Linked DNA regions of Arabidopsis thaliana. Each later gene encodes a partner of the first gene's protein in a complex. Each region holds a gene or a part of one and is shown on either strand. Other genes may lie near its edges.

What was found. The genes of interacting proteins can lie anywhere in the genome.
Region 2: NRPD7 (region 1) and NRPD1A share a complex: the UniProt entries of both Arabidopsis thaliana proteins name them as parts of the RNA polymerase IV complex.

The regions. Positions count from the first base shown.
Region 1 is NC_003074.8:8,113,313-8,116,804, reverse strand, and holds NRPD7 (RNA polymerase Rpb7-like, N-terminal domain-containing protein), read right to left. Parts: upstream 1,741-3,492; 5' UTR 1,536-1,740; exon of another isoform or gene 1,526-1,535; intron 1,171-1,525; 5' UTR 1,161-1,170; coding exon 636-1,160; 3' UTR 552-635; downstream 1-551. Other genes in the region: AT3G22910 (ATPase E1-E2 type family protein / haloacid dehalogenase-like hydrolase family protein), read left to right, coding at 1-470; APS1 (ATP sulfurylase 1), read right to left, coding at 2,071-2,208, 2,291-2,377, 2,451-2,711, 2,799-3,204, 3,469-3,492. UniProt on the Arabidopsis thaliana protein: DNA-dependent RNA polymerase catalyzes the transcription of DNA into RNA using the four ribonucleoside triphosphates as substrates. Component of RNA polymerase IV which mediates 24-nt short-interfering RNAs (siRNA) accumulation.
Region 2 is NC_003070.9:23,359,454-23,364,109, forward strand, and holds the start of NRPD1A (nuclear RNA polymerase D1A), read right to left. Parts: upstream 3,035-4,656; 5' UTR 2,984-3,034; exon of another isoform or gene 2,851-2,983; intron 2,740-2,850; 5' UTR 2,695-2,739; intron 1,687-2,694; 5' UTR 1,674-1,686; coding exon 1,590-1,673; intron 1,507-1,589; coding exon 1,386-1,506; intron 1,289-1,385; coding exon 1,167-1,288; intron 1,087-1,166; coding exon 1,048-1,086; intron 961-1,047; coding exon 742-960; intron 666-741; coding exon 513-665; intron 425-512; coding exon 329-424; intron 279-328; exon of another isoform or gene 249-278; coding exon 1-248. UniProt on the Arabidopsis thaliana protein: DNA-dependent RNA polymerase catalyzes the transcription of DNA into RNA using the four ribonucleoside triphosphates as substrates. Largest and catalytic component of RNA polymerase IV which mediates 24-nt short-interfering RNAs (siRNA) accumulation.

The sequences.
Region 1 (3,492 bases):
TGAAGAAGAAACCGATAGGGAGAGTGGCGCCATTGATCACAAACATCATGTGGAGGAATCTACTAGCTCAAGCGTTTTACCAAATCTCTGTGCTCTTGGTGCTTCAGTTTAGAGGAAGATCGATTTTCAACGTGACTGAGAAAGTGAAGAACACTTTGATCTTCAATACATTTGTGCTTTGTCAGGTGTTCAACGAGTTTAACGCTAGGAGTTTGGAGAAGAAGAATGTGTTTAAAGGGTTACACAAGAACAGACTCTTCATTGGAATTATAGTTGTGACTGTGGTTTTGCAAGTTGTGATGGTTGAGTTTCTCAAGAGATTTGCTGATACAGAGAGGCTAAACTTGGGTCAATGGGGAGTTTGCATTGCCATCGCAGCTGCATCGTGGCCGATTGGATGGTTAGTGAAGTCTGTTCCGGTTCCAGAGAGACACTTCTTTAGCTACCTGAAATGGAAGAAGAGATCATGAAAGAGGCTCTTGAATTGATCTTACATTAGTATATACATTATGAAGCATTGATTTGTTTTTTCTTTTAGTATGTTTAACAGATTTGAATAAAGATTGATCATTTTCATTGAACAGCGTTTTTACATAACATGTATATATAGAGTGAAAATTAAGATTACAATCTTTTTAGAACGGACCAAGATTGTCTCCATCGATGCTAGCCAAAGCCATGAAGTCTTTCTCTGCCTCTCTCCACTCGGTATCTAACACGACGAAACGAACTCTGGCACCGATTTGAATCCGGGACATGTACTGATTCATGAAAAACGGGTTCTCGCCTGGAATGAACTCGTAACCAGGCATTTTCATGTGTGATAGGTAAATGATTTCATAAGGGCCAGATTTCAAAAAGACACCAGTCTTGTGAACCTTGTGCACCACACCATGAACAATCTCTCCTTTAAACATCTTGAAGCAGATTCCGTTAAAAACTACGGGAAACTGAATTTCGCCGGTCTGTTCCTTGATCTTACCCTCACCGATGTTCTCAAGAATTGTCGGTGTTATCAAGTATCCAAGATCTTTTGTTGCTTTCTCTTTAGAAAAGGCTTCGAGTAGACGAATGACAATAGCTCTCTGAAGCATAAGGCCAGTGTCCATATCTTCAGCTGGAATCGTAACATCCCATGGCAATTTCACTTTGATGAACATTTTCTTCAGCCTGAAACAGTGACATTTCAAAGAATCAGAAGTAGTCAATCACATTTTCACTAAAGATTATGCATTCTACAGAAACAAGCTAACCAATTTTACCAAAGTGATCAACTTGAAGTTTTCTTTTAGACATTTTAACAAACACTTGGCATACATGTCAACCATTGAAATGAATCTCAAACAATAAAGAAGAATAAAAAAGTTTCCGACTTTTCAATTAAGCATCAAGCCACCATTAATTTACTATAAGCTTAGCACCGTTTGCATTGTGAAATGTGATCATATCATCGTTCTTCACAAACCCTAGAGTGAATTTATCTGAGAAATTGGTTTGACAGATCAAAAGATTAAGTAGCTCTAACTTGAAATTACCAAACGACGAAATCTGAAGCTCTAATGGAACGAACAACTTCGGAAACAGACACCGATTGTAGCGTCGGAGAAGAAAAACATCAGTCGTGAAATGACTCAGGAGACGAAACTTCGGGTTTGGTTATTTACAAATTAATAGGCCCATTACTACAAGAGGCCTTTGAAGGCCCATTACAACAATTGGGTACGACTACTAGAATACATATATGAAGTCAAAAGTGAGTGATTAAATGGCGAAAAAAAAAAAAAAAAAAGTGAGTGATTAAATAGAAAAAGATGTAGTCAAAAGTCAAAAATACGTAAATCCTTATATGTAAAAACAATCGTTTCATTAATATGGTACAAAGTTTGAGGCCCAAATATTACAAGTTTCGTAAATTATCTTGCAAACGAAAAACAGTCTTTTTTTCTTCTGTATTTTATTTGGAAAAAGGTCAAGCCAGATTATACATAGGCTTCTCTCCCAATACAACAATGATTGTTGCTACAAGGCTTCACAACACAAACGTTACAATTTGAAACGAACAGTTTTGTCTTACACCGGAACCACTTCTGGTAGTCTACCATTACCCGCCGGAGTCAAGCTCTCATAGTAATCCACCAGAACTTTCCATCCACCTGGGCACATAAAACCGTCTGGCGGGTTTTCGTTGTTCTTTGCCAATGTGCGCATCTAGAATAATCGAAAAACATTTAGAGGTTTGTTTTATAAACAAACTATGAAGAATTTTAACAATGTAGGACTGGTATATTACCTTAGTGCCGGAGATGAACAAGAAATCTTGAGGCCTCGAGGGATCGAAGAAAGCCATCTTGCCTTGCGTCTTGTCATATGCAGCAACCTGCAGTTACACCAAGGAATTAGATCTCTACATTGTCAAACAAAAAGTGTGAATCTTTTCGAATTGTATATACCCTGAAAGGAAGGATGTTGAGTCGTTCGAGTCCTGGTGCCATGCTTAGTACTTTCTTTCCATGATCAGCATCGTAAAGATCACGTTTCTCTACTGGATGACCCATCCCAGCAGGATCACGACCCACAATGTAAAAGTTAGCACCAGCATTGATTCTAGCCTTTGCGTGCCACTGCACTTCGGTTGGACCAGCGTAATGCATAGGTGACGGGAATATCGAAACCACTGTAGTCTCCGGATCGAGAACACCATCCTCTAGAACCTGTTTTACATTCATAAACACATTTAGCATTTCAAGATACACACACTCACACTCAAGAGACACACAACAATCAATAACTTTTTTTACCTTCTCGTGTTGCTTCATCCTCCAATCTAAAGGAACATCATCAGCCTTTGTAAACCCACCTAACGGATGAAGCAAAAGAATAGGGTTTTTGTAACCCATCTCAAGAAGTCTCCTACGAGTATCAGTCATAAGAAGAGCATGACCATTATGAACAGGATTCCTCAGCTGGAAAGCAAACACCGCATCCGCATTACGCTTCTCCAACTCTTTACGTAACTCAGCAGGCGAAAGCCTGAAACGATCAAGCCCATCATTGTACTTCACTGGCTCAAGAACCTCAAGATCACCCCCAATGAGCCAGTTTCCAGCATTAGTTATCGCCTCGTCTACGTAAGGCAAACCTGGAGCCGTCGTACCCCATGTTCTAGCTATCCTTTCTTCCTTTGGATGCTTATAAATCTCAATACTGATCAAACATAAAAACAAACAGATTTCAGTAACCAATTACACATATAGCCAAATTCTAATCTCAAGATTAATCAGATCTAGTCTAAGTCTAATCGTGAATACATAGTTATTAATTTATCGAGTATTACTTTATCGAGATTATACTGTATTTAACTAATCTCAAAGAGAGATAAGTTCAAAATCAAATTCAAATCTCAGTTTTCGTCTTCTCCAACAATCTATGATCTGAATTTGAATCTGAGTATGTTGAAGAAGGACTTACTCGCTGAGGATAGCGACGGGGTTA
Region 2 (4,656 bases), on another chromosome or scaffold:
AGCCTTTCTTTATTGCACTGGTTGAGATGCTCTGATACTTGAAGCCTTTTTGCGATACTCTCGGGTATGCCAATCTCGTTGAGCTTCAAGGACGGATCACCAACAACTACTGTCCGGAATGTATGATCACTTCTTTTACCGAGCAGCACGTCTTTCATGAACCTTAGACCGCAAAGTTTTGGTGTATCAGACTTCTTCTGGTACGGATTTGCGGAATCTTTACTCGAAGACACAGTTTCCGAAAAGAGCTGTGCAAAAAACAAGAAATACTACTAACCTTCACAGAACAGAAAGAAGAGTTTAAATCTATCAGGAACCACTAACTTACTCTGGAATATTGCATGCATTCCATCACACGAGAACTCAATTCAAGTGTGTTTCCCTCAAAGCCGACTAGTTTCTTGTAGATCCGAGTCCGTTCATCCTTCAAAAATGTGACAGAAACTCGAAAAGATAAGAGAAATACCATAGTATATGATAACAAATTATATAAACAAGCGTTTTTAGCTTACAAATATTAGCCGAGCTCCGTTGAACTGATGAACTATTTCGGTTACACGGTAACCATTTGGTGTAACAGGAAAAGATGTCAGACCAAGAGAGTTGAACATAGGGATATCCTTCTTGATGAGCCTCTGATCAATCCCTAATAACAGAGCATAAACCTGCAAAAAGGTGAAATTTTCAGAAAACTATATATAGTAAGAAGTCATGGAGATGGTACATTTCACTCTTCTATACCTGTGCATGCGTTATTATTCGCCTTGTTGGTTTCAAACAGCTCTCGTCGATATTAGAGTCTTGCGGCAAAAAACTCCAATAGTCAGGAGGCAATGTTAACACTCCCCGTTTCTTGAGTTTCATCAGACTCTCTTCGTTTACTTCAACAACGATTCCGGATCGCCTGAAGACTTCTTTAGTAGTTACCCTAAACTTCATTAGAGGATAACCGGTATTCAACTGATATATAACAACAACAAAAACCGAAAATTAGTGTTGGAACAAAGTTTTAAACTGAGAAAATTAGTTGCAATCATATATTCTTACAGTGCAGTATCTACATCTCTCAGGCTGGTCTTCGGTAATCTATATCAAGCAAAAATGACATTAGTATATGTAGTTCCAAAACACACAAACCAACAAAGGATTTGGAAAGACTAGTGAACCTGAAACTGCTTTTTTCGAATGTATTTACACCCCGGACAGATTTTGTTTAACAACGCAGCTACCTCCTTGAGGAAATACGGGTTTATTATCGAGTACGCGAAGTTTATAACCCCGAAATGCCCTAAAACAGAGAGAAAAGTAGCAAACTCAGGGAACTAATCATAAAATGAGCTAAAAGATTGGAACAATATTTGCCAAAACCAGATTCTTTATGATACCTTCGCAAACTTTTCGATCTTTGCTGCCACAGGTTCTGCAGACAGAATCCGGATTCGGTAATCCTAGCCGAGAATCAGTCACCTGATTCGGTGCTTCAACCTCTAGCACAGACATTTTATCCTATAATAAAGTACCATTACATTAAATATTTGCTCCATCTACTCATAAACAAATCAAGAAGAATAAATAAGGACAACACTTACTCGATCATTGTTGTTTGAAATGCTAAAACCTATCGAGGTTAGAGTTCCCACGGGAACCTGAAGCTCCTCACAATCGTCTTCCATGTTGAAGAGTTTCCTACAAGAAAAAAAACCATCAGTAAGGAAAATTTAGATACGTAAGTAAAAACATCAGTTTTTATAAGCAAGTTTTAGTGACCAATTCCAATGTGCAGAATATGAAACAAAACCAATATTTAGCATTTAGACAGACAAAACCAAAAAACTCGCTCTGACCAATACTAACCACTGAGAAACAGACAACTTCACAAACTATCTCTGTGAGTGGCCACTTAGAATCTAGCATATATCCAAAGAAAAGAGAGAACATGTTCAGGGAAGAAGATTCTAGCTCAAAAATATTTGACGAACACACAAAATAGTTCAAACTTTGAACACACATTATTGAAAATTAACACTTACTTCTGTAACATAAAACAGAGCTAAAACTCACGGATAAATCGTCGAAAAGATCAGTTTCTATCTGTACCCTCTATCATCAAATCTAATGTGCAGCAGAATATGAAACAAAAACCAATCTTTAGCATTTCATTGACCAGAACACAAAAACCAAAGCAAACTCTCTCTGATCAAAAAATTGACCAAAGAGAAACAGACACTTTTGTTAAGGGACAAAAGTGTTACCACAATCTTCCTCTGTGACTGGCCTATCAAAAACAAGTTATAGATTCGAAATTGAATTTACTAATAGAATCTAGCATGAACCCAAAAAAATAAGAGAATACATGTTCAGAAAAAGAAGAAAGAAAAAAAACTGCAGAACATACACACAAAAAGGTTCAATCTTTGAACATACACTATTCATGGATTAAAAAAAAAAAAATTCACTGACCAAAAAAAAAAAAGGACAAATTTTCCAAATGTTCTTCTAAAGGACTCACACAAACCCTTAGTGCAAAAACATTCGCCGCCTTAAGATGATCTCTAAACGAAAGAAATCGATTTCTCATAAGAACATGCATAAACCAAAGTACTTAACTTTTCACAATCATCCAAAGTAAACAAAGTTCATAGAAACAAAATCGGAGTTCAAAGACAACGATCGATCAAATTTAAACAAAAGAACCGTGATAAGGAATCAGACACAGTGATCAATCAAAAAAAAAAAGAACTCAAATTGTTTCAAAGAGATAAAAAGAAAATTACCGAAAAAGGTTTTAAAAAAAAAAACGAAAGAAAAACCAGAAGAGAATTGAGGAAGAACAACAATGTAGTTACTTACTCGTTTCGTCGAACAGAGAATCCTCACTATGTAATGATCCAATTGAAACAGTGCACAGACAAAAACTTCTGATCCTTAGCTCCGACGGAAGATGCCGGAGAAGAAGTTGAAGAAGAGACTCTAAAGAAAGAACAAAAAAAAAGAGAGGAAAAAAAAATCGAAATCGGAGGCTTTTGAGAAGCCGCCGTTTGTATTCCCAAAGGAAACGGGAAAAAGTGAGAAAGCAGAGAAAACGAAAAAAAAACTCTTCTCTAAGTCCAATGGGGACTTTGGAATGTGAGACACCAAAAAAAAAAAAAAAAGAAGAAGAAAGAGTGTAAATACCGAAACTACCCCTTGACCTGTACCTCTATTTACCTACTTTACGAGTACACCTTTTACCTTTTGGAAATCTTTTTACTTCCTCGGTTGTATTATTTTAATTACTTTATGATTTTCTGTTTCTGCGAATTTTACCTTATTTGTATAAACTCTGAAACTGGGAAGAAAAGAAAAAGTTGAAATATCCTTCCTTAAGTATATTATATTAGCTGTATTAGTTTTTTACTTTTGGCCTAATTTTAAAACTGACAAAAAGTTATTAGAATAATTAATACTTTTTATTAGTTTAATGTAATATTTAAATAAATAAAAATAAGTGTATAACTAAATTTTCATCTTAGCAAAAAAAAAAAATCCTAGTGGTTTTTATTTCTAGCTTGATTTTTGGTTCATAACTATAATATGAATAGCGGGAAAAAAAAATATAATTTGAACCAAAAACAAATTCCATTTCTTTTCTTATATGATTTTGCGATTTTTCTAAATACTAGTTATAATCTCTAAATAATCTAAAATTACATAATTATACGAATTTATTTGTGAAGTTTGTGTTAGTATCAATCAAAGTATGATATGTAAAATAAAATTTTGTTTTACGTATAGTTGAGGCTATAAATTTGTTATCTTTGATTCGAAACATTTATATTTCGTTAAAATATATTTTTGTTCGATAAAAAAATTATGTGTAATTAAAATATATTTTTTGTTTGAAAAACAATTACAATTAGTTAGCTGCTTAGACAATTATCATATAATTTTATAAGAGGCGAAATGTGATAAATAACTAAATTAATTGAGACAAAAATAGATTAAAATTTATAAGATCTAGAATCTTATTTGAGAGTATGTGAATGTCCATTAATAAATCAAGATATATAAGTGAAATCAGTTTTTCTTGTCGGCGACGTGAAATTAGATTCTTGTTTACGTGAAGTTCACGCTTTCGTTTGTAAAACAGTTACATAGTTAGTTTAGTGGTTATTTATTAAAACAGTTTAACATATAATTATTACTAAAATATACTCCTTCTATTTAAAATTAGTTGTCGTTTAAGGTTTTTTGTCGGCGGCGTGAAATTGAATTTTTGTTTACGTGAAGTTCACGCTTTCGTTTGTAAAACAGTTATATAGTTAGTTTAGTGGTTAGTTATTAAAATAGTTTTGTTTAAAATTATTTGTCGTTTAAGATTTTTTGCAGTGAAAATAAAAAAAAACAATTAAATTTTCTACTTTACCCTTGTTCAATATAGTTTCTAAAAAAATTATTGGTCAAGACATTAATACTCACATTTTTATTAAACATTTGCATTAAAAAACTAAAAACGATAATTATTGTGAGATTAAATTTAAGTGCTAAAATGATAATTAAATTAAAACAAAATGAGTATTTGTTTTGAAAAACATGTAGTAGAATAAACTAGACTTAAAAATGTCCCAGTAAATTTTCTTATTAACCTTATAAACTGTAAACATTTGGGGTAGTCTA